Arabidopsis thaliana: one gene and its partners. The protein of the gene in region 3 binds, or shares a complex with, the protein of the main gene of each other region. Each region holds a gene or a part of one and is shown on either strand. Other genes may lie near its edges. The genes, in order: TOC159, TOC132, TOC33 and TOC75-IV.

Region 1 (9,593 bases), on a different chromosome or scaffold from region 3:
TTTGATGTGGAAAAAAAAAAAAACTAAATTTGGAAACTTGTGGTTTGCTTGTTGTGGTTTATCATGTCTCTTGAACATCAAAAATAACAATGTGAGTTGCTTTTTGTGGTTTATCATGTCTCTTGATCATCAAAAATGACAATGTGAGTTGCATCTTGTGGTTTCTGACATCTGTGTAAGGGTCTATTATTGAAGTAAACTCAAATCTTTGCTTGGTTTGGATTTTGTTGAGCTACTCATTTGAGCCACTGCATTGTTGTTATAGGTGTACCTAGAAAGTGGATACTATCTTCACGGTTACTGGGGGATTCTTGTGGACAGATATGAAGAAATGATAGAAAACTACCACCCGGGTCTAGGAGATCACAGATGGCCATTGGTGACTCACTTTGTCGGTTGCAAACCGTGTGGGAAATTTGGTGATTACCCGGTGGAACGGTGTCTAAAACAAATGGACAGAGCCTTTAACTTTGGAGATAACCAGATTCTGCAAATCTATGGTTTCACTCACAAATCTTTGGCTAGTCGTAAAGTCAAGAGAGTGCGGAACGAGACTAGCAATCCGTTGGAGATGAAAGACGAGCTCGGGTTGCTTCATCCGGCGTTTAAGGCGGTTAAGGTACAAACCAATCAAGTTTGAATCGGTTTTGCGTTTAGGATTTGTGTTATGTTTCTCGCTATATTTATGTCTTGTGTCTTTGCTTGTTGTTGTACTAAGATGGATGATAAAGTATTGTGCAGAGACATCAGTTAATTCTTTGGTTTTACTTTGTCTCTACGTCTAGAGTTCTATTACGAAATCAAAATGTTGTTTTTCTTCCTTTTTGTTCTTTGTAATCCATTAGAACTTGAGATTTTGTAGCTTCATGGATCAATAATCTGTGTTAATTCAAGAACTTTTTTTTAACCTGATTTCACATTCAACTAATTATTTACTTTTAGTATGCAAAATGTGAAAAAATCACATTGAGTTAGTATAGTTCTGAGATCATATTCACAAGTTTTGTGTAGTTTAGGAGTTTAATTCGAAAAACAAAATTTGGCATGTGGTCAGATTCTTTTGCAGTATGGGTTGTTGTATCTGAAATCTGAATGTCTTTAATTGATAATAAAATCATGTATACGGGCTATTATTAGGGGGAGGCCTTATAAAAGCCCATCTGAAAACTAAAATCACGGCCTAATATATGGAATCCGTGTTATACAAAAATCCAAGATAATTCGTAGATAATGGTGAGAAAATCGTTTGTGGCCAAGCAATTTCGGGTAGGGAGGATCAACAAAGATACAAAAAAGATTTCTTTCTTCTTTATAAAACCCAAATCTCAAAATGTTATCTCGTTTTTTATTTTAAATGTTTTATTTTATTTTGTTGTTGTGTGGTTTTTTTGGTTTTTAGTAAAGAGAAGATATAACAAAACCCTAATTCTCATGAGTTCAAAAACCCTAGATTTAGTGAGCCCATCAAAACATTTTCCATTGGGGAAGATTTTAACATTTGGAGAATTGTGCATAATAAAAACAAAATATTAAACAGTAAATACTTTCCAAAAAGTGACTAAAATATTCTAAATTTACTCAACAAAAATTGAAAATTCTTGACAAAAAAATTACTGTTTTTTAAAATGATACAATGTTTTTCAAATTTTAACCACAAATGATTATTGTACTTCTTCCTCAAATAAAAAAAGAAACTCTATATATTTTGGCTTGAGCCAATGAAGCGACACAGTTTAAAGCGTAGCACAAAAGAGAGCCCTCTTGGAAACTTCACCAACATAGAAGCGAGGGTAATTCGGTAATTTCATCATCATCCTCAAAACACAAACTGAGAAGATAAAATCCCAAGGCAAAGAAGAAAAACGAAGAGTCATTTTTTGTTCGCCGAGTGACCTTATCTCTCCCAATTCTCTCTTCTTCAAAAGAGAGAGAGCAGCCAAATTCTCAATCATAAAAACCTTCACACAAAAAAGGGTAAATTCCTTTAAACCCTATCTATCTATCGCTATCTCCTTCCTCCACAAGTTTGGCGGAGAAAGAGTCTCAGTAGCAAAGCGGAAATGGACTCAAAGTCGGTTACTCCAGAACCAACCAACCCCTTCTACGCTTCTTCGGGGCAATCAGGTTTTTCTTCTTTCTCGTTTATATCTTCTTTAATCTGCGTTTTTGGGAATAGGGTTTTAATCGGAAGGATATTTTGTTATCAGGAAAAACCTATGCTTCTGTTGTCGCCGCCGCTGCTGCTGCAGCCGCCGATAAGGAGGATGGTGGTGCTGTGAGTAGTGCCAAGGAGTTGGATTCCTCATCGGAGGCTGTGTCTGGTAATTCGGATAAGGTTGGAGCTGATGATTTATCTGACTCCGAGAAGGAGAAGCCGAATTTGGTGGGTGATGGGAAGGTTTCCGACGAGGTGGATGGTTCTTTAAAGGAGGATTCTACTACTCCTGAGGCTACTCCGAAGCCTGAGGTGGTTTCTGGTGAGACAATTGGTGTAGATGATGTTTCATCGTTATCTCCGAAGCCGGAGGCTGTTTCTGATGGTGTAGGGGTTGTGGAGGAGAATAAGAAGGTTAAGGAGGACGTGGAGGATATTAAAGACGATGGTGAGAGTAAGATTGAAAATGGGAGTGTTGATGTTGATGTGAAACAGGCTTCCACAGATGGGGAGAGTGAGAGTAAAGTGAAGGATGTGGAAGAAGAAGATGTTGGAACAAAAAAAGATGATGAGGGGGAGAGTGAGTTGGGTGGAAAAGTTGATGTTGACGATAAAAGTGATAATGTTATTGAAGAAGAGGGTGTGGAGTTAACTGATAAAGGAGACGTCATTGTGAACTCGTCCCCTGTAGAATCAGTGCATGTTGATGTGGCAAAACCAGGGGTGGTTGTTGTAGGAGACGCAGAGGGAAGTGAGGAGTTGAAGATTAATGCTGATGCTGAAACTCTTGAAGTGGCTAATAAGTTTGATCAAATTGGGGATGATGATAGTGGTGAATTTGAACCTGTGTCTGACAAGGCCATTGAGGAGGTAGAAGAAAAATTTACTAGCGAATCAGACTCTATTGCAGACTCCTCTAAGTTAGAATCTGTGGATACCAGTGCTGTAGAGCCAGAGGTTGTAGCTGCCGAGAGTGGGAGTGAACCAAAGGATGTGGAAAAAGCCAACGGATTGGAGAAGGGTATGACTTATGCTGAAGTAATCAAGGCAGCTAGTGCAGTAGCTGACAATGGAACCAAAGAGGAGGAGAGTGTGCTCGGTGGCATAGTCGATGATGCAGAAGAAGGTGTTAAGTTAAACAACAAAGGAGACTTTGTGGTGGACTCATCTGCTATTGAAGCTGTGAATGTAGATGTGGCAAAGCCAGGGGTTGTTGTTGTTGGAGACGTAGAGGTGAGTGAGGTGCTGGAAACTGATGGCAACATCCCTGATGTGCATAATAAGTTTGATCCAATTGGCCAAGGTGAAGGTGGTGAAGTTGAACTTGAATCCGATAAAGCCACAGAGGAGGGAGGAGGAAAGTTGGTTAGTGAAGGAGACTCTATGGTTGACTCCTCTGTGGTGGACTCTGTTGATGCTGATATCAATGTTGCAGAGCCAGGGGTTGTGGTTGTCGGGGCGGCTAAGGAGGCTGTAATTAAGGAAGATGATAAAGATGATGAGGTTGACAAGACCATCTCAAATATTGAGGAACCTGATGACCTGACTGCTGCATATGATGGAAATTTTGAATTGGCTGTTAAGGAAATATCAGAGGCTGCCAAAGTAGAGCCAGACGAACCAAAAGTAGGTGTGGAAGTAGAAGAATTGCCTGTTTCTGAAAGTTTAAAAGTGGGTTCAGTTGATGCAGAAGAGGATTCAATTCCTGCAGCTGAGTCACAGTTTGAGGTTCGGAAAGTTGTCGAAGGGGACAGTGCTGAAGAGGATGAAAACAAGCTCCCAGTCGAAGACATTGTTTCTTCTCGTGAGTTTAGCTTTGGAGGCAAGGAAGTGGACCAGGAACCTTCTGGCGAAGGTGTTACCAGGGTTGATGGGTCTGAAAGTGAAGAAGAAACTGAAGAGATGATATTTGGGAGTTCTGAAGCTGCAAAACAGTTCTTAGCAGAGTTGGAAAAGGCTTCTTCTGGTATAGAGGCACATTCTGATGAAGCAAACATTTCTAACAATATGTCAGATAGGATTGATGGCCAGATTGTCACCGATTCTGACGAGGATGTAGACACAGAGGATGAAGGTGAGGAGAAAATGTTTGATACTGCAGCTTTGGCTGCGCTTTTGAAGGCAGCCACTGGTGGTGGAAGTTCAGAAGGTGGCAATTTTACCATAACATCTCAGGATGGCACGAAGCTTTTCTCTATGGATCGACCTGCTGGTTTGAGTTCATCGTTAAGGCCCTTGAAGCCTGCAGCAGCTCCACGTGCAAACCGTTCCAACATCTTTTCCAATTCTAATGTCACAATGGCAGATGAGACTGAGATTAACTTGAGCGAGGAAGAGAAACAGAAATTAGAAAAGTTGCAAAGCCTCCGTGTGAAGTTTTTGCGGCTTTTGCAAAGGTTGGGTCATTCGGCAGAAGATTCAATTGCAGCGCAGGTTCTTTACCGTCTTGCACTACTTGCTGGGAGACAAGCAGGGCAGTTATTCAGTCTTGATGCTGCAAAGAAGAAGGCTGTGGAGTCTGAGGCTGAGGGCAACGAAGAATTGATCTTCTCCCTAAACATACTGGTCCTTGGAAAAGCCGGGGTGGGAAAAAGTGCTACTATAAATTCCATTTTGGGAAACCAGATTGCGTCCATTGATGCTTTTGGGCTCTCAACCACTTCGGTTAGAGAAATTTCTGGAACGGTGAATGGTGTCAAGATTACCTTTATTGATACTCCGGGTTTGAAGTCTGCTGCGATGGATCAAAGTACAAATGCAAAAATGTTGTCCTCTGTAAAGAAGGTAATGAAGAAGTGTCCCCCTGATATTGTACTATATGTAGATCGTCTTGACACCCAGACCAGGGACTTGAACAATTTGCCCTTGCTAAGGACGATTACTGCTTCTCTTGGTACATCCATATGGAAAAACGCTATAGTGACATTGACCCATGCGGCTTCTGCCCCTCCTGATGGCCCATCTGGCACCCCATTGAGCTATGATGTGTTTGTAGCGCAGTGCTCACATATTGTGCAACAGTCTATAGGACAGGCTGTTGGAGATCTACGCTTGATGAATCCAAGTCTGATGAATCCAGTTTCACTTGTTGAGAATCACCCCTTGTGTAGGAAGAACCGGGAGGGAGTGAAGGTTCTCCCGAATGGCCAAACTTGGAGATCTCAGCTGTTGCTATTGTGTTACTCCCTGAAGGTTTTGTCAGAAACAAATTCTCTATTGAGGCCTCAAGAACCATTGGACCATCGTAAAGTATTTGGTTTCCGAGTTAGATCCCCGCCTCTCCCTTACTTGTTGTCTTGGCTGTTGCAGTCCCGTGCACATCCTAAGCTCCCTGGAGACCAAGGTGGTGATAGTGTTGACTCTGATATCGAAATTGATGATGTGTCTGATTCTGAGCAGGAAGATGGGGAAGATGATGAGTATGACCAGCTGCCACCATTTAAGCCTCTTCGAAAAACCCAACTTGCAAAGCTCTCAAATGAACAGAGAAAGGCATATTTCGAGGAGTATGATTACCGTGTAAAGCTCCTGCAGAAGAAGCAATGGAGAGAGGAATTAAAGAGGATGAAAGAAATGAAGAAAAACGGGAAGAAGCTGGGTGAAAGTGAGTTTGGTTATCCGGGAGAAGAAGATGATCCAGAAAACGGGGCTCCAGCTGCAGTGCCAGTTCCATTACCCGATATGGTTTTGCCACCTTCATTTGATAGTGATAACTCAGCTTACCGATACCGATATCTGGAACCCACTTCACAACTCCTAACCAGGCCAGTGTTGGATACCCATGGTTGGGACCATGACTGTGGATATGACGGCGTCAATGCAGAACACAGTCTTGCTCTAGCTAGCCGGTTCCCTGCCACAGCTACTGTCCAAGTCACCAAGGACAAGAAAGAGTTCAACATTCATCTGGACTCCTCTGTGTCTGCTAAGCACGGGGAGAATGGATCCACCATGGCAGGGTTCGATATTCAGAATGTAGGCAAGCAGCTGGCATATGTGGTCAGAGGAGAAACCAAATTCAAGAATTTGAGGAAGAACAAGACAACTGTTGGAGGGTCAGTGACATTCTTGGGAGAGAACATCGCCACTGGGGTCAAACTCGAGGACCAAATAGCACTGGGGAAAAGGTTGGTGCTTGTGGGCAGCACTGGGACAATGCGATCACAGGGAGATTCGGCCTATGGTGCGAACCTCGAGGTCAGGCTTAGGGAAGCTGATTTCCCAATTGGACAGGACCAATCTTCTTTTGGGCTGTCTCTGGTAAAGTGGAGAGGCGATTTAGCCCTTGGAGCCAATCTCCAATCTCAAGTCTCTGTTGGAAGGAACTCAAAGATTGCGCTTCGTGCAGGACTTAACAACAAGATGAGCGGACAGATCACAGTCAGAACCAGCAGCTCGGATCAGTTGCAAATCGCTCTCACAGCCATTCTTCCAATTGCCATGTCCATCTACAAGAGCATTCGACCCGAAGCGACGAACGACAAGTACAGCATGTACTAAATATGCTGATGAATGCTGCAGAATGATCTTTTCTTTTATTACTGGTTTTTAGTTCATGTTTTTCCCCCACTTTAATAAAAACTTTGTTGAAGTTTATCAAAGTTGTATTTTGGTTCTGTTGAGAGGTTCCCATCGGATTTAATTTATCATGTATCAGTAATTCTTCACTTTCATTAGCCCTTCTCAGCTTCTCTTGCTGTTCTTCAGATAATGGAATCTAGTTCAGTCTTCTTTTGGTCTACGTCTCATGCTAATGATGTTGCTTGGTTTGAGTTTGCTAATTTGTTACTAAATTTCTGCAGAAGATACAAATCACTCGGTGAAGAATCTTTAAAGCAGGTGCGTAGCCTGTAACTGTTGATAAGATTTTGTACTAGAACCCTCATCTCATTGTGTTCTTCACCAGGATCTTACTGTTCTTCCTTGGTCCCTTGAAGGCAATGGTATGTTTTTTATAAAAATGCTTTGTAATAGATTTTCATTCTTATATAATATCTGGAAACTATTGGAGTATCGTGGTGAAGTAAACTTGATGATACTAGCAGACAAAACTCCGAATAAAGGATATTTCTTGGTGGACTTAATCTTTATGGTTTATGTGAATATTTGATGTAGCAAAGCCTCTAACTTAAAGGATGACCAGAGTCTGCAAATATATGGCTGGCTTTACTCGCAATTCTTTGGGTAGCCACAAAGTCATCAGAGTAATGAGACGAGCAAACAGTTGGAGATAAACACTAGGTGGACTTTCTTCACCCTGCGTTTACGGCGGTCAAGGTACAAAATTGATGGTGAAAAACACAAACTTGCTGCTCTAACCGTTTCTGTTATTTATAGAGAGGTGAATAGGTCCAGAAATCTGATGTGTTTTGTTTTGTCTGATTTGAAGCTTACGTCTATATTTTACTTGTCATTTTCAGACATGACAAAGCAAGGAAACTTTAAGGATAAGAACGTTCAAAGTCTTCTTAAGTCAACTTCTTTCGCCAGGAGAAACGTTCCAAAGTAAGATTTCCACCAGACTAAAGTCCTTACATACTATTCTCACTAGTCAGTATCTCCATAGTTAAGACATCGCAATCTTTGCATTAGTTAACTAATTGATTTATTTTAGAATAGCTTGAAGATTAGATAAATAGTTTTTGCCAAAGATACTCTCAAGAGCATACACACACACTCACATAACTGAAAGAAAACAGAGGATACAACAGAAAGAAAGTACTGAGAAATTGGGCAATGAGAAAGCCGCTTATTTAATCTTAGCATTATTACTGTGACTGAAGCAAAACCATATTTTCCTTTTAGAAATTTCTCACTGAACCTTCTCGGAAGCTGGCCTCTTGGTGATTTCAGCCACCCACTCATTGACACGTGGACGCTCGGTGAAGAGCTTCTTGGTGGGAGTTCCGAGCAGGTATTGAATCGCGGGAATGTGGTGAAGATCAGTCAAAGTGAAAGTTTCACCAGCCAAATACTTGAACTCCTTGAGCCTAGCCTCGTAGACATCAAGGACCTTGGCTAACTTAGCCTCCTCTTCTGCAACAACGGCTTCGTCTGTGGTCAAGCCGTAGATGGACTTGAATATTTGTTCAAAAGCAAGCTTTGAAGCCACTGGGTCGAACTGGTGATCTTCTACTTGCATTCCAATGGCCATGATTGCGTACTGAGATATGTTCTTGGAGTCGGTTTGGAGAAGGTTGGTTCCTTGGTTTTCATATCGGTGAGCTATGTACTGAGTAATCGCTCTTGATTCTACACAAAATAAAAATAAAAAAATCCAATTCTTATTAGTGATTTTGCTCTCTAATGGCTTTTGTCAACTCAGAGTTGAGATTGAAGATGATGCATGGAAAAGGTTCATACCGAAGAGCTTGAGGTCTCCATCTTCAAAGGCTGGAACCTGACCAAAAGGCTGAAGAGGAAAGAAGTTCAAACACAAAACATTTGAGATGCAGGCCAGATACATGAAAACAGTTGGTCTCTTGTCTTACAACAACACATAGATATATAGATATACTTACGTTGCGGGAGAGGAAAGGCTCCTTCTTGTGCTCACCGTCTTTGAGTTCGACATGAACGAGCTCAAAGTCGAGGTTTTTCTCGTGGAGGGCGATGAGGACTCTCCTGGTGGCAATGGAAGCTGGGTGTCCGAAAACTTTGATACCTGCCATTGATTTGGGTTACTAAGAAACTCTTTGAAGACTGAGAAAAAAGAGAGAAAAGAGGAAGAAATGTGATGTTTGATGTTGAAGGTGAAGGTGATGAAATAAGACACAAGTAATGAAGGTATTTATACAGAAGCATTTCTACTTTCTCATTAATGTTTAATATTATCTAACAGATAATAATGCCTCTACAAGGCCATCGCAACCAATATTGACTAGTCTTCTTCTTCTGGGAGGATTTTTCAAAGCTGAATTGGACTGTTTAACGTTTAAATATTTGCTTTTACATTGGTTATGTAATGGTTTTTAATAAAGTATTCAATGTATCAGAGAAAAGATCATAACTAGTGCGTAGTAATAGGCCAAATGACTCAAACTTCCACCTACTAGCTTCATCTAGTAGCTTTCCCCCTTCTTGGTTATGACTGGTTCGGTTTTGTTTCGGGGATTTTGTGATGCTCTATATCTGTATGCCTTCTCAAGTTAAAAGGGTTTCTCTTAATGTGAGATTCAATAGAACAAAGGTTTACTGATCAGATCTTTTTGAATTAGTTTCAGATAAATAACCAAAGAAGTTTTGGTATGGTTTCTTGGTTCCTTTTGGTGTGGTGGAATTCGATGGAAAAATCAACCTTGTTGATATTGATGCATAGTAAGTATGAACAAAATGTATAAAGGTAAATAATAACCAAAGAAGTTAAGAAAGTGAATGATGATTATTCAAAGGATTATTTGGAGAAAAAAAAGACCCTCTTTGACAAATCTGTTGGAAA
Region 2 (8,496 bases), on a different chromosome or scaffold from region 3:
TGTACCTATGCTCAGCTTCCATTACTGACATATCTCTTCAATACCTTGCCATTGACCGTGGTTTCGAGATTTTTGATCGTATGGTTAGTTCGGGGATAAGTCCTAATGAGGCATCTGTTACTTCAGTGGCTAGACTGGCTGCTGCTAAAGGTAATGGTGATTATGCTTTCAAGGTTGTTAAGGAGTTTGTTTCTGTTGGAGGTGTGTCGATTCCTCGTCTGAGGACATATGCGCCGGCTTTGCTCTGTTTCTGCGAGAAGTTGGAGGCTGAAAAGGGTTATGAGGTAGAAGAGCACATGGAAGCTGCAGGTATTGCATTGGAGGAGGCAGAGATATCGGCTTTGTTGAAGGTAAGTGCTGCCACGGGTCGAGAAAACAAGGTTTATAGATATTTACATAAGTTGAGGGAATATGTTGGCTGCGTTAGTGAAGAAACTTTGAAAATTATTGAGGAATGGTTCTGTGGAGAAAAAGCTGGTGAGGTTGGTGATAATGGAATTGGTTCTGATGTTGGGATGCTTAGAGAAGCTGTTTTGAATAATGGAGGTGGGTGGCACGGGCATGGGTGGGTTGGGGAGGGTAAATGGACTGTAAAGAAAGGTAATGTTAGCTCAACAGGAAGATGTTTGAGCTGCAGTGAGCAGTTAGCTTGTGTAGATACCAATGAGGTAGAAACACAGAAGTTTGTGGATTCTTTGGTGGCTTTGGCTATGGATAGGAAGACAAAGATGAATTCATGTGAGACAAATGTGGTCTTCAGCGAGTTTCAGGTTAGAGATGGGATTCTCTTAGCTTGGTTATAATAAGTCTTGGACATTAAATATTGCATGATAAGCATTTAGAGATAGGTACACTGGTTGGAGTTTTTGCTGCGAATTGTCATCAATCTTGAGTATTCAAATGTCGATATTTGTTGAATGTTGCTATCTTATTTGGCAGGACTGGCTTGAGAAACATGGAGATTACGAAGCTATAGTAGATGGAGCAAATATTGGGCTCTACCAACAAAATTTTGTAGATGGCAGTTTCAGTCTTTCACAGGTTCTCCCATCTTTTCTGGGGTACTTGTTTTTCTTCCTCCATATTTTTAGAATCCATTCCTTGCTATACTGATATCACATACATGTGGGATAGAGCAGCTTGAATCTGTGATGAAGGAACTTTACCGTGAAAGTGGTAATAACAAATGGCCCCTAATTCTATTGCACAAGAGACGGGTCAAGACGCTTTTAGAAAACCCAACTCACCGGAATCTGGTTGAAGAATGGATTAGTAACGGTGTCCTGTATGCAACTCCACCAGGTTCCAATGATGATTGGTATGAACTTTTAGCTTCTCTCAGCACCATTATTTCGACAAAAAACACAAACAATGTTTGGTTACTACACTCATCTTTTGTTTTTTTTACCTTTCCAGGTATTGGCTGTATGCTGCTGCTAAGCTCAAGTGTTTGCTTGTGACAAATGATGAGATGAGAGACCACATTTTTGAACTCTTAGGGAGTACTTTTTTCCAAAAGTGGAAAGAAAGACATCAGGTAAAGTTATATAAACTTATATACAATATGTAACTTTTTATACTAAAAGTGCAACTTTGAGAAGTCTACAATTAGAACATTTGGTTTATGGTTTTGGTACAGGTCCGGTATACTTTTGTGAAAGGTAACCTGAAGCTTGAAATGCCGTCTCCTTTTTCGGTTGTCATTCAGGTTTGTTTACCATCTCAGTCCTTTTTTTCTCCGGTTTCGATAGTTTCTCAATTACGTTTCGACAAAATCAGGAATCAGAGAAAGGGTCATGGCATTTCCCGGTCTCATGCGAAAACAATGAAGAGTCTTCAAGAACTTGGATGTGTATTAGCAGACAAAGTATTTTAGATTCACCTAAGAGTAATGGGAAGATTCCTTAGTAGCTGCACCAGCTTATTGAGTTCATGTATCATTTGTTATGAGTTTTCATTCTTTGTCCTTTGAAGATTAACACAAAAAACGTTCATTGGTTCTATAATAAGGGACTGAACTTTTCTCATTAGAAAGAACACAAAAAATTGTAGTAGACCAAACCGAATCAGACCGGGTTGGTTAAACCGAATTGACGCACGAGGGTTTTCTATTCCCTTTCACGGCTTCACTCACTCTACTTTATATAGTCCACGTCAGCATCATTTCACGATTGCATCAACGAGTCATTATCAACCGTACGATGCTTAAACCCAAACTGATCAGGACCGTTGATGAACGTCTCTTATCTCCTTCCCCGTCGTAGTCGCAGGCTCGCAGCCGGTAAAGCGCATGAAAGGATCTTCACACTTTTTCACCTTCTCTCTATTTCTCTCTCTCTCTCTCTCTCTCTATCTCTAACTTCTGGTAAGGCTTCTCTCCATTTCTCTTCTTCTTTCTTCGTCTTCTTTCTTCTGTTTTGGTTTTCGTTTCCTGTAATCAACAAAGTTCTTCTTCCATGTTTGGAGATCCCTATCACCGCTTAGACCTGTGTTTAAGCGATTTGGTTAACTTCAATTGAATTTTAGTTTCTGGAATTGGTAAGGGATAAGGATTCTAGGATTCGTGGTGATTAACTCTGATCTAGGTTTCTTTTAGCTGTGTGCTCGTTTTTTTTTTTTTTTGGTTGTTGGAATTTATATTGATGGTTAAAGCGTAGTTGGTAATTGGAGTGATTTCTGATCTCTGATTATTGTATTTGTGGCTTTTGTTTCCCGTAGCGGTGGTGATCTAGAAAATGGGAGATGGGACTGAGTTTGTGGTTAGGTCAGATAGGGAAGATAAGAAGCTTGCTGAGGATAGAATTAGTGATGAGCAAGTAGTGAAGAATGAGTTGGTGAGATCTGATGAAGTAAGGGATGATAACGAGGACGAGGTTTTTGAGGAAGCGATTGGTTCAGAGAATGATGAGCAGGAGGAGGAGGAGGATCCAAAACGTGAATTGTTTGAATCTGATGATTTGCCTTTAGTGGAAACTCTTAAAAGTTCTATGGTTGAGCATGAAGTGGAGGATTTTGAAGAGGCAGTGGGTGATTTGGATGAAACGAGTAGCAATGAAGGGGGTGTTAAAGATTTTACGGCTGTTGGAGAGAGCCATGGTGCGGGAGAGGCTGAATTTGATGTTTTGGCTACTAAAATGAATGGTGATAAGGGGGAAGGAGGTGGAGGTGGTTCTTATGATAAAGTTGAATCGAGCTTGGATGTTGTTGATACCACTGAGAATGCTACATCAACTAATACTAATGGTTCCAATTTAGCAGCTGAGCATGTGGGTATTGAAAACGGAAAGACTCATTCTTTTTTGGGAAATGGAATCGCCTCTCCTAAAAATAAAGAAGTGGTGGCTGAAGTTATCCCTAAAGATGATGGGATTGAGGAACCATGGAATGATGGCATTGAAGTCGATAATTGGGAGGAAAGAGTTGATGGCATACAGACAGAACAAGAGGTTGAGGAAGGTGAAGGAACAACTGAAAATCAATTTGAGAAACGGACAGAAGAAGAGGTTGTAGAAGGTGAAGGAACAAGTAAGAATCTATTTGAGAAACAGACAGAACAAGATGTTGTGGAAGGTGAAGGAACAAGTAAGGATCTATTTGAGAATGGTTCAGTATGTATGGACAGTGAGTCCGAGGCAGAAAGAAATGGTGAGACTGGTGCCGCCTACACAAGTAATATCGTTACTAATGCTTCAGGTGACAATGAAGTATCAAGTGCTGTGACTTCATCTCCATTGGAGGAATCTAGTTCCGGGGAAAAGGGAGAGACTGAAGGGGACAGTACTTGTTTAAAACCAGAGCAACACTTGGCTTCTTCGCCGCACTCATATCCTGAGTCAACTGAAGTTCACAGCAATAGTGGCTCCCCTGGGGTAACTAGTAGAGAACACAAACCAGTTCAAAGTGCTAATGGAGGACATGATGTTCAGAGTCCTCAACCAAATAAGGAGCTTGAGAAGCAGCAAAGCAGCAGAGTACATGTAGATCCAGAGATTACAGAAAATTCACATGTGGAAACAGAACCTGAGGTAGTAAGTTCTGTTTCACCAACAGAGTCTAGAAGTAATCCTGCGGCATTACCACCTGCTCGTCCAGCAGGTCTTGGTCGTGCTTCTCCTCTTTTGGAACCTGCATCACGTGCTCCTCAACAGTCTCGCGTCAATGGGAATGGGTCTCACAATCAGTTTCAGCAAGCTGAAGACTCTACCACTACAGAGGCTGATGAGCATGATGAGACCCGCGAGAAGCTCCAGTTGATCAGGGTAAAATTTTTGAGGCTTGCACATAGACTAGGGCAAACCCCGCATAATGTTGTTGTTGCTCAGGTTTTATACAGGCTTGGATTGGCTGAGCAGTTGAGGGGCAGAAATGGAAGCCGTGTTGGTGCTTTTAGTTTTGATCGCGCTAGTGCCATGGCAGAACAGCTTGAGGCTGCTGGACAGGATCCACTTGATTTTTCTTGTACGATTATGGTTCTCGGAAAAAGTGGGGTTGGTAAAAGTGCAACGATCAATTCTATATTTGATGAAGTGAAATTTTGTACTGATGCATTCCAGATGGGGACAAAGAGGGTTCAAGATGTTGAGGGTTTGGTTCAGGGAATTAAGGTACGGGTGATTGACACTCCCGGTCTCTTACCTTCCTGGTCTGATCAAGCCAAGAATGAGAAGATCCTGAATTCTGTTAAGGCTTTCATCAAGAAGAATCCACCTGACATTGTACTATATCTTGATAGGTTGGATATGCAAAGCAGAGATTCTGGTGACATGCCTCTCCTGCGCACCATAAGTGATGTTTTTGGTCCTTCGATATGGTTTAATGCCATTGTGGGTTTGACTCATGCCGCTTCTGTTCCACCAGATGGCCCAAATGGCACTGCTTCTAGCTATGATATGTTTGTTACACAACGTTCTCATGTCATCCAGCAGGCCATTCGCCAAGCAGCTGGAGATATGAGGCTCATGAACCCTGTTTCTTTAGTTGAGAATCACTCAGCTTGCAGGACTAATCGGGCAGGCCAGAGAGTATTACCGAATGGCCAAGTGTGGAAGCCACATTTGTTGCTACTCTCATTTGCATCTAAGATTCTAGCAGAAGCAAATGCTCTTTTGAAGTTGCAAGATAATATTCCAGGGAGACCATTTGCAGCTCGGTCCAAGGCTCCGCCATTACCATTTCTCCTTTCATCGCTTCTGCAATCAAGACCACAACCTAAGCTTCCTGAACAGCAGTATGGTGATGAAGAAGATGAAGATGATTTAGAAGAATCATCAGATTCAGACGAAGAATCAGAGTATGATCAGCTTCCTCCGTTTAAGAGTTTGACTAAAGCTCAGATGGCTACGCTTAGTAAATCTCAGAAGAAGCAGTATCTCGATGAAATGGAGTACCGAGAGAAACTTTTAATGAAGAAGCAAATGAAAGAGGAAAGAAAGAGACGTAAGATGTTTAAGAAATTTGCTGCAGAGATTAAAGATTTGCCTGATGGGTATAGTGAAAATGTGGAAGAGGAGAGTGGTGGACCTGCATCAGTTCCAGTTCCTATGCCAGATTTATCTCTACCTGCGTCTTTTGACTCTGATAACCCTACTCACCGCTACCGGTACCTTGATTCCTCCAATCAGTGGCTTGTTAGGCCAGTCCTGGAAACTCATGGGTGGGATCATGATATTGGTTATGAAGGTGTGAATGCAGAACGGCTCTTTGTTGTAAAAGAAAAAATACCAATATCTGTCTCAGGTCAAGTGACAAAAGACAAGAAGGATGCAAATGTGCAGCTAGAAATGGCCAGCTCGGTTAAACATGGAGAGGGTAAATCAACTTCCCTAGGTTTCGACATGCAAACTGTTGGAAAGGAATTGGCTTATACTCTTCGAAGCGAAACGAGATTTAACAATTTCAGGAGAAACAAGGCTGCAGCTGGTCTTTCTGTAACACACTTGGGTGATTCGGTTTCTGCGGGGTTGAAAGTCGAAGATAAGTTTATTGCTAGTAAATGGTTCAGAATCGTAATGTCTGGTGGAGCTATGACTAGTCGGGGAGATTTTGCTTATGGTGGTACTTTGGAAGCTCAGTTGAGAGATAAAGATTATCCGCTTGGTCGGTTTTTGACTACTCTTGGACTTTCTGTAATGGATTGGCACGGTGATCTTGCTATTGGAGGGAACATACAGTCTCAGGTTCCCATTGGACGTTCCTCTAATTTAATTGCTCGTGCTAATCTGAACAATAGAGGAGCAGGGCAAGTAAGTGTTCGTGTTAACAGCTCCGAGCAGCTCCAACTTGCTATGGTTGCGATTGTTCCTCTCTTCAAGAAGCTACTTAGTTATTATTACCCGCAAACGCAATATGGACAATGATTAAGAAACATTTAGGCTGATTTCACTTCCATCCCTTTGCACTGGAGTATTAGGAATCGATTAGTCACAAGAACATGTTAGAGTGAGTTGAAAAGGTACACAATCTGATCTCTATATCTTACTGTGATTACTGATTTCGATATTTTCGTTTTCTTGGAAACCCTCTTAATGGATTTTGCTGAGCGTTGATGTGCTTTGGTTTTGAACAGGATCTGTCTGGTAGCAAGAGACCAATTGTTGGAGGAAAGTTTGTGTCTTGAAATAGCCAGAACATAACACGTTCCTTGTCTGATATATAATAGCTCAGTGGTTTGTTTTTCTTCTATTTCTAAGACCTTGTGATCTCCCTTATGAATGAAGCATATCTACTTTTGTTCATGTCCCTCTCCAATCATTGATGCATTATATCATAACAACATTTAGTGCTCACAGTGCTAGAACGTTAGGCTTTGTAACAACTAAGTTTAATGCCGAGTATAAATAGGGATACAATAATAGTCCATAAATTCTCCAATGAATCCAGGTATAGACTTTTATAGTATTACAAAAGGACCCAAGAACAATGTAAAAGAGAAAGAAAGAGTGTAGAGTATATAAGTATTGAAAACACATTCAATCAATTGCAGACTGTGAATCTGCAGGTCCCGGAATTAGCCTTGATGAAACGAATAGCAGTCATGAGGACATCGTGTTCCGAATTCCCGAGGAGAGCCAGATTGGTATATGTGATCACAGCGACGGAATTATAAGGAAATCCTAGAGAGTTGTATGAATTGAGCAATGCAGTTGTTGCCTCTCTTAGAAGTGTCTTATAGGCTTCTCCTCGCCCGTCAAGCGCTTCTCGTACTGTCATATCTGTGCCGTATATTCTCCCGGCTACTAGCCCAAATGCAACTGCGACCTTTGTGTCTGGACCTATCGCCCTCCAGTAGCATCTGTACTCAGGTTTCATCCACAACCTATATCACAAAGCCACAATGTTAAAAATTATCTGAAACAAAGGTGTGCATAATAAACAGATATGAAAGTAAGACCGAACTAAGAACCAAGCTTAGCCTAACCAAACCGAATAAAGTCCAATAGTAAGATTATACTACCAAAAATCATATTTAGCTACTAAAGATATATAATATACATTATTTTCTTTGTAATTTTATCAATTTTAATTTAAAACAGAACCGAAATGTTAAGTAAACAACAATTTTCAAACCAACAAATAATTCGGTTTTAGTTGAAAAATCAAATTTAAAAACCAAAATACCGAAGCAGAATTTGAAGTACTATAAGGAACAAATATGAAAGCTCACTCATGGAGCCAAAAACCGAAAAAACCCGAAAATCTAGGCTTGTTTTGAAGTGAGTTAGGGAATGAATCCGAGAGAAAGCTCACTGGTGAGAACAAGCTGATGGCTCTACAAATGGCATTGGAGGGATTTGAGGCAATGGTGGAAGCTTAAACTGAGGAGGTGATGTAACTGGAGGAAGATTTATGACCGGGACCAGAGGAGGAGGCAATGTAGTTGGAGGATCAGGACTTATAACCGGGACCTTAGGAGGAGGCAATGTAGCTGGAGGATCAGGACTTATAACCGGGACCTTAGGATGAGGCTTAACCGGGACCTGAGGAGGAGGCATTACCGGAACTTGAGGAGGAGGCATGACCGGAGCTGTGGGTGGTTTAGGACAAAAAGAACTTGGCTGAACTGGTTGAGCAAGAAGGGCATCCGCAGCAAACGTTTCAATCCCAAAAAAGCTGAACATTAGTTTAAGTTTCTGTGCAGGACCTGAAGCAATGCTGCAGCTACTTGGGTCTTGTTGAACTCCATTGTCTGAAACTTGAGCATAACAGTTACTTAGATCCGGTGTCCCATCAAATCTCATTACATATCCTCCAAGCCAATTAGTAGTCTCTTCTCTTGACATATAGACCTGTCCATTTTCATCAGCACATGTGACACTAATCTTGATTCCTGCAACAAATCAACAAACACATCTTAAGGAACACAAGCATAGACAGCAATGTAAAAATGTTGGAATTATTATTACCAGAGACAGGAAAATCAAACAAAGATCTCTCTCCATCCTTGCATTGGTCACAAAACACCGAGCCTGTGACCGTGGCATATCCGGTTACACCATT
Region 3 (6,107 bases):
TCAAGTAAATAATAATATCAGGATATTATACTTACCTGCAAGGTGATTCTTTTATTAAAGTTTACATGGGCCTATACGTTTCCAGGCCCAAACTATTTGTGAAGTAATGTCTAACTTGATTATAAATCACAATTTAAAAATGATTATTAATTAAAGTAATCAAGGCATTAGTTACTTTAGGCGGCTTTAATTAAAGAAATCAAAATACAAGTGTAACAGTAATTAGTCTCTCTAGTCTCTACTCTACTGTCGCATCGATCGAAAAGCCATAGAAATCTCTAGAAAGGAAGCAGAGAATCTTTGAAGGCGATGAAGTTCGTATCTGTAGCCAAAGGGATATGGTTTCTTCGACCCTAATCTGCTAATTTCACCTGTCTTTAGAGCCGGTAAGCTCCTCGTCTTTTACGCTTTCCGATCGATTTCTCTGAATATCTCGAGATTCTTTTTTTTTATTAGTTCCGGTAGGTTTTTGAAACTCATTGGAGCTGATTTGTGCTGAGATTTGTATGATACTTGTTTTTTATTCAAATTGTCTGCACATTTTTGTTGTCAAATCCAAGGGTTTTCGCTCTCTAGTTATTTGCCTTGTTGGAGCTTTTGATTTTGGTTATTGATTGAGTTCGCGATCGATTACGTTTAAGCTTTGTAGCTGATCCGATCTGGGAGATTTTCTGGTGTTGTGTATCTTCTTCTTTTTGAGTGCTTCATTGATCTCACAATGTATATTTCGTGTTTTATATAGCCTTTAGTGTTGTTGTTGCTGAAATCAGTGAGTAAAATGCTATTTATGTTCGTTTGATTTCTGATTAGTAACATACTCAGCTTCTCGCTGTCCATTGTATTGTAGTAGAATTCTTGTAATGTGAATTGCTGATGATGAGTCTTTAACATTTTCTATCTAGGTATCTCCTGCTTGTGTTCCTTTCTACTGAGTTTGTGGTTGGAGATTTGAAGTACTTGTGTTTTAAGGGTAGTAAGTGGTTAACTACAGATGAATAAGAATCAAACAGTTGGGCTAGACTCTGAAGATGATGACTCTGATGATTACGACATTGCGCAAGTAAACTGTGAGCTAGCTTTGGTTGAAGGTCAGCTCTGTAACATACCATACGAGCTCTACGATCTACCAGATTTAACGGGAATATTGTCTGTTGAGACTTGGAACTCACTTCTGACTGAAGAAGAAAGATTCTTCCTCTCATGTTTTCTGCCAGATATGGATCCACAGACTTTCAGTTTGACGATGCAGGAACTTCTTGATGGTGCCAATTTATATTTTGGGAATCCAGAGGATAAGTTTTACAAGAATTTGCTAGGTGGATTGTTTACTCCAAAGGTAGCTTGTTTCAAAGAAGGTGTTATGTTTGTCAAGAGGAGAAAGTATTACTACTCTTTAAAGTTCTATCATGAAAAGCTGATCAGGACATTTACCGAAATGCAAAGGGTGTGGGTTCAGTATGGAAATAAATTGGGCAATTACTCAAGGCTCCTCATTTGGTCAGGACGAACTCAAACCGGTAATCTCAAGCTACTGGACCTCAATAGAGTTCCATCTAAGGAAATGGATAGTGCTACATGTAGATTCAAAACTCCCAATGTAGTGAAACCCGTGGAAAGAAATAGATCGAAAAGTTTAACCTTCCCTCGCAGTGGCAGCTCCAAGAACAGTCTCAAGATAAAGATAACCAAGGAAGGAGTATTCCGGTATCAAGGTTCCAGCTTAGTTTCTGCTGGCCATCATCATCAGACTTTGCCAAAGGGTGTTCTCAAATTAGTCCCTAAATCTTCTTCTGCCATCCTCAGGAAACCCTATGTAGCTCCAGGAAACAATCTCCTGCAAATCCATGAAACCGGTTCAAAGAGTACTAGATTTGCAGCGTCTCCATACTTAGGTACGACATTTGAGAAACCACCCTACGGAACTCTTGGCTGTTCTATCCCAGACCCTTTCTTAACCTATTTGGAAACTACACAAAGATCAATCCAAGGTACAGAACCGGTGTTTCATGATCCAACACACACTGTTCCCAGTGCTCTCCGTGTTTCAAATTACTCCATCACAGAACAGAATATACCTCTAAAGCAAGAAGAATATGTCCGGTACCACCTGAAGTCTCCTGGTTTTAAGCCTAGGACTGTTGACAGAGGCTCTGAAACAACAGAGAGCAAGAGGATTTCGTCTAGTAATAACTTTCAGAGGGAAGCCAAGGCTCTGAGAAAACCGCTGGGGGTCCTGAGCGAAGACAATCATGCTCGAGAAGCCAATAGTGACCATTTGTTTTCCTTGACTTACAAGCGAAGAAAGGTTCAGAGAATCGCTTGAGCTCCCGTGACGCTATGCTAATTCAATGTTCCACCTAATGTAGTCTTCCATGAAAATATGAAGTGTAATGCTGCAACTTGGTAACTGGATTTGGTTTGGGGTTGAGTTTGTTAGTTTTCAAAATTTGAAGGCACTAAAAAGAAACACTAAAGAAATAGAGGAGTAAAAGTGAAAATAATTTGAACTATTAAACAAATTACCGATAAGGTCACATTCTTTAGCTTTTCTCTGCGGAACACATCGAGAGAGCTTCTTCCAAAAACCTCAAACGCTCCTCACACAACGGTAAGCTCCTCCAAATCTCCCAAAACGTTATCGCTTTCGAAATTAATTATCATCATCGTCATCACTCAGCGATTATTTACCAAAAGAATTTTTTTGCTGAAGGGTTTAGGAGTGATGGGGTCTCTCGTTCGTGAATGGGTTGGGTTTCAGCAATTTCCAGCAGCTACCCAGGAAAAGCTGATTGAATTCTTCGGAAAATTGAAGCAAAAGGTGTGTTTTGTTGTTGTTGTTCCTGTTTCTTTGGTGCTTAAGTCGGTTTCTCGGATTCTCCGTTGTGATTAGGAGATAATGATGGGAGGTTTTTGTAATTGCAGGATATGAACTCAATGACAGTTCTTGTTCTGGGTAAAGGCGGTGTCGGAAAATCATCCACTGTCAATTCTCTTATCGGCGAACAAGTCGTCCGTGTCAGTCCTTTCCAAGTACGTAATTCAGTTTCCCTAAGCTTGATTTTTTTAATTTGGATTAAGAAAGAGTAGTCATTTCAAGATATTTGATGGCTCTGTTTTGTTGATTTTGTAGGCTGAAGGATTGAGACCAGTGATGGTTTCAAGAACAATGGGAGGGTTCACTATCAACATTATTGACACCCCTGGACTTGTGGAAGCTGGATATGTCAATCACCAAGCTCTCGAGTTAATCAAAGGGTCAGTAGCTACTCTTTTGGAATATCTCTTCGTTGATTGTTGCATATAGGATTATCTCATTCGTTTTTGAATTAATTAAGCTAAGTATATATGTGGTTAACATGTTTACTTGTGGGTTTCTGTTGAAATTGTGAATTATGAGTATCTGGTTTACGCTGAAGCTGTATATTGGAGTGTGTGTGGAAGTTTTACGATAGTTGTTGTGTTTCTCGGATTTTGGACAGGTTTCTTGTGAACAGAACAATAGATGTCTTGCTCTATGTTGATCGTTTGGATGTGTATAGAGTCGATGAGCTAGATAAGCAAGTTGTTATAGCAATCACCCAAACCTTTGGAAAAGAGATATGGTGCAAAACCTTGCTTGTTCTGACTCATGCTCAATTTTCCCCTCCCGATGAACTTTCCTACGAAACTTTTTCCTCCAAGAGATCAGATTCTCTCCTCAAAACTATCCGGGCTGGTTCTAAGATGCGAAAACAAGAGTTTGAGGTATGGTTATTTATACATATACCTGTCTCCGAAAATTGTTATACCAATGTATGTTTGGTTCATTGTAGCAAGAATCAGTTTCATTCTTTACTGGCTTGTAGGATTCTGCAATCGCGGTAGTCTATGCAGAGAACAGCGGAAGATGCAGCAAGAACGATAAGGACGAAAAGGTTTGTGTTTTCGAATCTCTGATTTGATCCGACTTGGAGAGAGACTGACTGTTAAAAGTTGCTTACCTGCTCTCGGTTCAGGCTCTTCCAAATGGTGAAGCGTGGATCCCGAACTTGGTTAAGGCGATAACTGATGTAGCAACAAACCAGAGGAAAGCAATTCATGTAGACAAGAAGATGGTAGATGGATCTTACTCTGATGATAAAGGAAAGAAACTCATCCCTCTTATCATAGGCGCTCAGGTAAGAAAGAGACACAGTTTGATTTATTGTCTTGTTCGAATTTGGTAAACAAGTGAAATCCTTTCTTCTACTTTGCAGTATTTGATCGTTAAGATGATTCAAGGAGCAATCAGAAATGATATCAAGACAAGTGGAAAGCCACTTTAAGAGGCTCTGAAGAAGAGGTTTTGTTGTGAGCAAATTACAAGGAGAAGAAGAGTTTTTCGATTGTTCTTTCTTTTGTTAGATTTTATCTGCAACATTTTCTTGTTTCCGGCTTTATCTTTGTCTGTAATTTATGGAGATTTGTTCAAAGAAAAGATTGCCATGCTTTCTGGTTAAATGAAATGGATGTTTCCCAATCATAATATCACCAAAAAAAGAATATATTATGTTCTGTAGATAAGAAAAACAAATGATCTGCTAAAGTCTGTTTTGAATCAAACAAGTCTTTTAGCTGATGGGATTAATTGTTTGCATCCTCGGGTGATTACATAAACACAGATCAACAGAAAACTCGGCATAACCAAGGCCGCTTCTATCTCCCACAGGAAGACTAGCATTGGTAGCCTGATGTCAATGTCTGTTAGATCATCAATCACTGCTGCTTCTGTTCCATTATAAACAGTTTATTGAGAATTGGTTCGGAATCATCATCATATCCATCTCTTATTTCCTAATACTAATAGACATGAGTGTTTGTTTGTAACAGAGGTTTAAGAAATAGATCGTCCCGGTCCCACATAATCTAACAAACTTACCGTTTAGATTAGATAATCACCATCAGATCTCACAGTTGCAATATGATGAAAATAGACGGTCCAGATTTCTCGAACGTTCTCAAATAAGAAAAAGGAAACAACTGTTGAAGATAAAAGGAAAGTAGGAAACAATCGAAATTTGGATATGGTAATAGTCATTTTGACATGTGCAATCTTTTTAATATGTTGTAGTACCTGAAAGAAGCTGGATGGGCTCAAGGAGACCGAGTTTTTGCTTGTACCAGCCAAGACCTTTAGCTGTCCCGATTTGTTTTTGGATCATATCACAAGCTGCTGCATGAGGTATTGCTTTCTTCATTTACTTTTTTTTTTAGTAATTGATTGAAAGATTTTTTCAACCATGTTTTGTTTTTTTTGTAAGTACTAAATTTTTAATTTTTGTGACATAACATCCAAACAGAACGTGCCAAAAAAATTTGATACCATACGCGAAAATATGATTTAATATTTTAATAAATATTATAAACATAACAAAAAAAATAATTAATATTTAAAGTTTAATAATAAATTAAGCAAATTTTAAGCAAAACATAAATAATTTAGAACAAAAATATGACCAAAAACGATTAGGTTGATTATAATGTGTAAACTAGTAAAATGTGCTAGTGTCGTTATTATGTTATCAATCAAACGGTATAATGCATGTTGTTAACAAAACAAAACATAGTTTTATTGACTTCTCAAAAATGACCTTTGAAATAATTACGACAAAGAATATTTTTATTTTTTTACTAACCTTTCTATTATCGAACTCTTTCGTTGTAAAAATGTCTCTTGTCGCCGGTAGTGTCAAGAAGACGGACCTTTGAAATACTTCTCAAAAAAGACCTTTGAAATATTCAAAGGTATAGCAGGTGGCGAGATAGCCTGGCTTGTGAGAGAGGAGCTTTCCGTCTTCTTTGTTATGTGTATATTTTAATAAATAATTTTTTTGTTATGTTTACATTATTTATTAAAATATTAAACTATATTTTTTTGTTTATAGCATCAAAATTCATTGGCACGACTCTGATGACGAGACACCAAATATCCATATAATGGTGTTGCAGTTGCTTCGTTGGAAAGACGATAATCAACCTCCGGCCAAGATAATCTTCATATCAAACTCGCTCAGTATCTATCACTTCTCTTGGTTTTTTGCTTAAAATCCGCTCAGTATCTGATGAATATTATAAAATTTCTTCATTGA
Region 4 (5,914 bases), on a different chromosome or scaffold from region 3:
ATTCTTCAATTCAAATGATCATGGAGAGCCTTCAGTCTTACAAATGCAAACTCTCGTTTTACTTTGAAGGGCTTGAGTATCAACTTGGGGATTTTCGTTTGAGAGTTGGTAAAGTTGTTCCTACTCATGCTGAGACCATTAGAGGCGTAGTCATGGAGGTAACAAATTTTATATCTTTTGAGTACGTTGAGATATATTAATAATCAATGTTAATGATTATCTAACACTCTAGTTAATTCATAATTTGGAGTTTGTAATGTAACTCAGTAACTAAAGGTTATTAGCTATGATTGGTAACACACATAATGACGGTTTCTAATGTGATTAGGCAGAAAATTTGTCAATTAAGAAAATTTGCATAATCTACGGTTTTCCATGCAACAAGTTTTCATTATACGAATTTTTAGTGCTATCAACTTATGCCATTATGCTATTATGCACTACTTTCATTTGAAACCTATAATTATGTGTGTGTACTATTTAGGTGGAGTATCTTCCTATATCATCAATGGGAATGGCAAAAAAATTGATGGAGGAGTTCTTGGAGATATGGCAAGAAGCTATGTCGAAAAGGTCGTTGCCGGGTAAGTTTGTGAACAAAGAACTCAACTTTGAAAAGTTTGGACTTGGAGACAACTACACTCCGCAACATACCGCTGTTGGATATGCTTTCTTCATGGCTAATTTGATGGCAGCAATTCAAGCTGGGAGAGGCTAAAGATAATACAACAAAGACTTTTATGAGTTTTTGTGGTATCATTGATTTTAGAAGTCATTAAGGATTGAAAAACAAATGGTAGTTTTAAAAAGTTGGAAGACCAATTTGTAAACTTGAGATTGGAGCAGATTGTGAATTCAGTTTCTTACCAACTTTTTGGTTTGTTTTATGACTGTGAAAACTTTATGAATCTTTTGACCCTAAACTCAATTACTGGTCACTTGTGTCTATAAAATGCATAAATAAAGCGAAAATGTTGGATTACGATTGGGCTTAGTGTTAGTTATTTGGGTCAGTCATTGAGTTGGGCTTAAGGCCCATAAATGAGAAGAATCCCAAATGCAGAATCAAAACGCAAAGAAGTTTTGGCGGTTGCGATTGCATGTTTTCTTCCAAACAGAGCTTACCGGTAGTAACAAACAATATAGAGAGAAAGAAGTGTGAGAGCTACAAGTTTGAAGAAATCGAGTAGAGAGAGAGACAGATCTAGATTCTTCTTCTTCTTCGTCTTCTTCGTCAACCTCTAGAAGACTCGTGTAGGTACGTAGCTTTGAATCTCTTCTTCTGTAACCTGAAATTTTGTTAATTCCTCTTGAGAGTGAAGCATTATCGAGTTTGATCTTCGAGAAATTGTACATAAATCGCTTGTTTCTCTCGTGTTCTTTCTTTGTACTGATTTCAAAACTTGAATCGCAAAGAACAAGCGATAAGATCAAAATCAACTACCAAAATCACTACAGAGAGCTATTTTTCTTTGGATTTTGGTTTTAAACATGTGTTTGATTACGATTCCAGACTGAAATTTGTATCTGAGTCAGTGGATTTTTTGGTGTTGCCTTGTTGATTCGTTCACGTTGTAGTAGTAGATTTCAGAATTTTGCTTTCGTTGCTTTGAGTTTAGCTTAGGATTTGGCTTTTAACAGAGTTTCTATTTGAGTAGAATTGTAAAATAGAATTTGATGTCTGCCAAGTGTTTGATGAAATTCCTCTGAGAAATGAACCTTAAGTTATTCTAGTGTGTATTAATGGATTTCTTCTTTGTTGTTCAGGTTATTGTGATGGAAGCTGTGAAGGAAGCTGTGAGGAAGATTAAGTCCTTAGTCATACCACATGCAGATGAGAAAGATAATGGTATTGTTTTTGAGATCAAGCTTAATGAGACAGATCAGAGAGTAGAAAAGTGGGGTCTTGATCCTTCTTTGGTATGTATTGTCTTCTACTAAACTTGGCAACTTTTTTATGTTATAAGAGTTTTCTATTGAATTTACTATGTCCTTCGTTTGATTATCTTGCATTATTAGGATTTTTTCGAGGTAACAGGGAACTGTAATTTGGGACGTCCAAATAGCGAGGGATCTAATCAGTCTCTCATGGGTTCTGTGACCATTAGGAACATCTTTAATCCTAAGCTGGTACACTTGTTTTTACATATGCTTCTGATACCTATCTAGTTTATTTTGTAGTTTGATATTTTGATCCTTTAATACGCTTGGTTTTCTCTTAGGATGATCTTTTGTCTAAGATTGAGTATGTACGGTTTCTGGAAGCTGTTAAAAAACCTAGAAACCGTACCTTCAAAACGAGCTTCTTCAATAGCAGAAAACTTAGCCCAGTGTTCACTGGAGGACCAGGCTATGAGGATCTAGTGCCTCCAATGTTTGTGGGTCGAGATTGTCTTAAAGCTACTATAACTGAGGTAACCAAGTCTCCTATATATATAGATAGTCAACTTGTAATCATCTCTCACAAGCACCTTTTTTTTCACGTCCAGAACTTAACCCGTCAGAGAGAACTCACATATGGAGTTATGTTTGAAGAGATAATAACCCGAGATGAAAACAGGCGAATCTCTGAAAATGGGCTCTTGTTATCGCCTGACGGTGGAATCAGTATTAATGGACCTCCAACAACTCTAAGTGGTACCGGTATTGACCACATTGCCACTCTACAAGCCAACATAACCCGAGACAACACCAAGCTAGTGAATGGGGCTGTTGTTGGAGAGAAGAATATCTTTCAGGTTTTGTATCAAATCCCTTGATGTTGGTGTTTTTAACTAAATTAGAGCTTTAATAGTGTACTAACACAAATCGCAGGTGGATCAAGGCTTAGGTATAGGAAATAATTTTCCGCTCTTCAACCGCCACCAACTATCATTAACAAGTTTCATTCAGCTGAAGCAAGTAGAAGAAGGATCCGATAAACCACAACCACCAGTTCTAGTCCTCCATGGTCGTTACGGTGGCTGCATAGGCGATCTTCCAAGCTATGATGTTTTTGCTCTTGGTGGACCTAACTCCGTTCGAGGATACAGCATGGGAGAACTTGGTGCAGCTAAAAACATTCTCGAGGTTAAATATAATTACGAAAAACATGCTTTTGTTTTGGTCTTTCAGTTTATAAAATCTGATAATGCTAATTGTATATAGCTTTTTTTTGGTATGTTGCTAATTGTATATAGCTTGGTGCTGAGATTAGAATTCCTGTCAAGAACACACATGTGTATGCATTTGCTGAGCATGGAAACGATTTGGGAAGTTCAAAGGATGTGAAAGGGAATCCAACAGGGCTTTACAGGAAAATGGGACATGGTTCATCGTATGGTTTGGGTGTGAAACTCGGTATGGTGCGAGCTGAATATACTGTACGTCACAATCGTGGAACCGGTGCTCTGTTTCTCAGGTTCGGGGAGAGATACTAAGGTCATGCCATGAAGACTTTGTGCTGCTTTCTTTCTTAACTCTAATACTTTGGTTTATAATCCTGATACTCTAGTTATGTAAATGCGTGCATAGCAAGTCATTGAGTTTAGGCATTTGTTTAAAGCGATAGAAGAGAATAAGAACAAGCCGTTTCATGTCTCTCGTCACGACAGTAAATGTTTAGTTAGATTTGTTTTTGACTTTGAAGAAGTCTGTTCACTGTAGACGTAGAACACGTACTACATTTACTCATGCCCTCTCTATTAACTTGTTGATTACGCAAAACGACTTTTCCGACACTTATGACCTAGTCCTTATTGGTCCACTCGCATTTCTCGGATGTTTATGTCCTCTCAATGGGATGTGACGGACCAATAAGGTTTATTGTATTACATCTGGCCGGTTTGTGAAACACCGTCATATATCCGAAATGGTAACTTGTATATATTTTTACTGTATATAGAAGGTTCCAGATTTTTACCACTTGTTTGCGTAACTCTCTAGCTATTAATGTATTAAAGATTTTATTTAACAAAATAAAACTCAAAAGTCACGAGTTCTAATGTCGAAGGTTAAAAATAAACAATTTTACATATGTTGTGATCTCTTTGTGAGTTTATCTATTTCTGATTTTAATGGTTGTTAGAATTGCTTAAAACGACCAGTACTGCAAGTTGATATCTATTAAACCTTTGATGAGCTTATTGTTCTGGAATTATCAAGGATTGGGGTGGTCTCATGTATTATCAACCGTCTAAAGGAAATGCATAAAATACAGTTTAGAAAGTTTTTATTTCAATGGAGACTAAATATAATAGAGACGTGATGGTAGATTTTCATGAGTGGTTAAGTTATGAACTTATGATGGTATATATTTGAGCCTCGTGGTTTGAGTGGTGAAAGAAATTTGTTCAGACTGAGTGGTCTTTATAAATATATTTATTTTTTGGGATTTTGAAGTGCAATTTGGATATGTCTCGTTTTTCATGTCTTATGTATACAATCAAATTAATTACGAATTGTATTCATCAATGGATGATTGTATTCACTAATGAATGATTGTAATCACCTATCATTTATTATGCATATTAGTTATTAAAACCAAATATATATTTTTAAGACACTACACACATTTATCAAAACTTGGATCCGTAAAAACAAATGTGAATGTAATCACATATCATTTATTGTGCATATCAGATATTGAAACCAAATATATATATTTTTAAGACACATACACACATTTACCAAAACTGAGATCGGTAACAGCAAATGTGCCAGTATTTTTGAAGCTACATGCCTTTTTGGTACGACCATGACTCTGATAATAAGCATTCATCACAAATGATGCATGATTTACAAGACTATTAGGGATATAACAGGATCCGCCTGGTTGAATTGGCCCACAATCAACTCCTTCACTACATCCAAAATTAATATTTCCTTGTAGTTGCGCATTCGTTGCGTTCATCTTTGCTACACACCATTTTGTGGAACTCGCCACATGGAGGTGGTTGATCATTATGGAAGATAGAATGATGAAAAGAAGTGCCAAAAGTGATGATATTTTGGCCATTTTTTTTAAATGACAATTCAATTGAGATTCAAGTAATTTTGTTTTTGGATGTCTATGTGAGTAAATGTATATGTGTCTTTATATATTACTAGATAGTATTTAGAAGATAGTTTATATGTTTTTATATACATAGATGTCTATAAAAAAAAGTTTAACCATATAAGAAGTCAAAGATTTTAAAAAACTTATGAAAATGAAAATATACATATATTATTAGAAATATATCTTTATAATTTGAAATGATATCTAAAACTTTTAACCACTAGATAGTAGAAAATCAAAGATATAAAAATATTTTGGAAGAAAGAAATATATCTTTATAATTAGAAATATATCTTTATAATTTGAAATGTATGATTATAGAAACAAAAAGATAACTTTATAACTTTGAAATTATATGTCTATGAAAAAGGTTCTATATATTAGAAAACCAAAGATTTAAAGATATTTAAGAAAATAGAAATATATGAGTAACATCTCAAATCCAAAGCTTGGTCAATGAGAGAGAGAGCGCTACTAAATCGTCAAAAGAGAATAAAGCTAGGAAAAATATATAAAGTTGGTTTGGGGGTTTGTCACGAATGAAAATAGAAAATTAAAAATGTAAACAAGAGAAAGAAACGCAAGAAAAAGTCAATAAAATGATTGTTGGGAATTCATGGATTTTGCAGGGGTATTGATGATCATTTCATTCAAAGAAATCTAAGATATGTAATAATTTATTCTATGTTCACAAACTAGAAACACAAATGAATAAAAGAGCTACCATTTGCAGAATCAATTATGTAAGGTCTAGATACACCATTACTCAACAAATCGCTGGACGACACATCTAGTCATGCGTTATAAGCAAGTAAATTCACATATACACTAAAACTAATGGGTATGTATTAGGGATATTGTCTCACATCAGAAGAT

The links.
Region 1: TOC33 (region 3) and TOC159 share a complex: the UniProt entries of both Arabidopsis thaliana proteins name them as parts of the TOC core complex.
Region 2: TOC33 (region 3) and TOC132 share a complex: the UniProt entries of both Arabidopsis thaliana proteins name them as parts of the TOC core complex.
Region 4: TOC33 (region 3) and TOC75-IV share a complex: the UniProt entries of both Arabidopsis thaliana proteins name them as parts of the TOC core complex.

What each region holds. Positions count from the first base shown.
Region 1 is NC_003075.7:1,102,706-1,112,298, forward strand, and holds TOC159 (translocon at the outer envelope membrane of chloroplasts 159), read left to right. Parts: upstream 1-1,860; 5' UTR 1,861-2,060; coding exon 2,061-2,124; intron 2,125-2,207; coding exon 2,208-6,655; 3' UTR 6,656-6,994; exon of another isoform or gene 6,995-7,061; 3' UTR 7,062-7,098; exon of another isoform or gene 7,099-7,270; 3' UTR 7,271-7,432; intron 7,433-7,575; 3' UTR 7,576-7,660; exon of another isoform or gene 7,661-7,960; 3' UTR 7,961-7,967; coding exon of another isoform or gene 7,968-8,407; intron 8,408-8,480; 3' UTR 8,481-8,518; coding exon of another isoform or gene 8,519-8,567; 3' UTR 8,568-8,676; coding exon of another isoform or gene 8,677-8,826; 3' UTR 8,827-9,079; downstream 9,080-9,593. Other genes in the region: XT2 (UDP-xylosyltransferase 2), read left to right, coding at 266-640; GSTF2 (glutathione S-transferase PHI 2), read right to left, coding at 7,968-8,407, 8,519-8,567, 8,677-8,826. UniProt on the Arabidopsis thaliana protein: GTPase involved in protein precursor import into chloroplasts. Seems to recognize chloroplast-destined precursor proteins and regulate their presentation to the translocation channel through GTP hydrolysis. Required for chloroplast biogenesis.
Region 2 is NC_003071.7:7,209,349-7,217,844, reverse strand, and holds TOC132 (multimeric translocon complex in the outer envelope membrane 132), read left to right. Parts: upstream 1-2,227; 5' UTR 2,228-2,365; exon of another isoform or gene 2,366-2,718; 5' UTR 2,719-2,735; coding exon 2,736-6,356; 3' UTR 6,357-6,451; intron 6,452-6,565; 3' UTR 6,566-6,786; downstream 6,787-8,496. Other genes in the region: PRORP2 (proteinaceous RNase P 2), read left to right, coding at 1-770, 940-1,041, 1,140-1,318, 1,417-1,537, 1,640-1,708, 1,780-1,908; AT2G16630 (Pollen Ole e 1 allergen and extensin family protein), read right to left, coding at 6,973-7,315, 7,747-8,326, 8,403-8,496. UniProt on the Arabidopsis thaliana protein: GTPase involved in protein precursor import into chloroplasts. Seems to recognize chloroplast-destined precursor proteins and regulate their presentation to the translocation channel through GTP hydrolysis.
Region 3 is NC_003070.9:446,862-452,968, reverse strand, and holds TOC33 (translocon at the outer envelope membrane of chloroplasts 33), read left to right. Parts: upstream 1-2,542; 5' UTR 2,543-2,608; intron 2,609-2,710; 5' UTR 2,711-2,722; coding exon 2,723-2,818; intron 2,819-2,922; coding exon 2,923-3,030; intron 3,031-3,130; coding exon 3,131-3,255; intron 3,256-3,479; coding exon 3,480-3,744; intron 3,745-3,845; coding exon 3,846-3,914; intron 3,915-3,995; coding exon 3,996-4,157; intron 4,158-4,235; coding exon 4,236-4,304; 3' UTR 4,305-4,546; downstream 4,547-6,107. Other genes in the region: AT1G02290 (uncharacterized protein), read left to right, coding at 992-2,323. UniProt on the Arabidopsis thaliana protein: GTPase involved in protein precursor import into chloroplasts. Seems to recognize chloroplast-destined precursor proteins and regulate their presentation to the translocation channel through GTP hydrolysis. Binds GTP, GDP, XTP, but not ATP.
Region 4 is NC_003075.7:5,802,675-5,808,588, forward strand, and holds TOC75-IV (Outer membrane OMP85 family protein), read left to right. Parts: upstream 1-1,714; 5' UTR 1,715-1,743; coding exon 1,744-1,920; intron 1,921-1,967; exon of another isoform or gene 1,968-2,019; coding exon 2,020-2,130; intron 2,131-2,222; coding exon 2,223-2,414; intron 2,415-2,489; coding exon 2,490-2,738; intron 2,739-2,814; coding exon 2,815-3,069; intron 3,070-3,179; coding exon 3,180-3,419; 3' UTR 3,420-3,681; downstream 3,682-5,914. Other genes in the region: AT4G09070 (TATA-binding related factor (TRF) of subunit 20 of Mediator complex), read left to right, coding at 1-158, 485-718; AT4G09090 (Carbohydrate-binding X8 domain superfamily protein), read right to left, coding at 4,646-4,996. UniProt on the Arabidopsis thaliana protein: Mediates the insertion of proteins targeted to the outer membrane of chloroplasts. Required for the import of protein precursors into chloroplasts.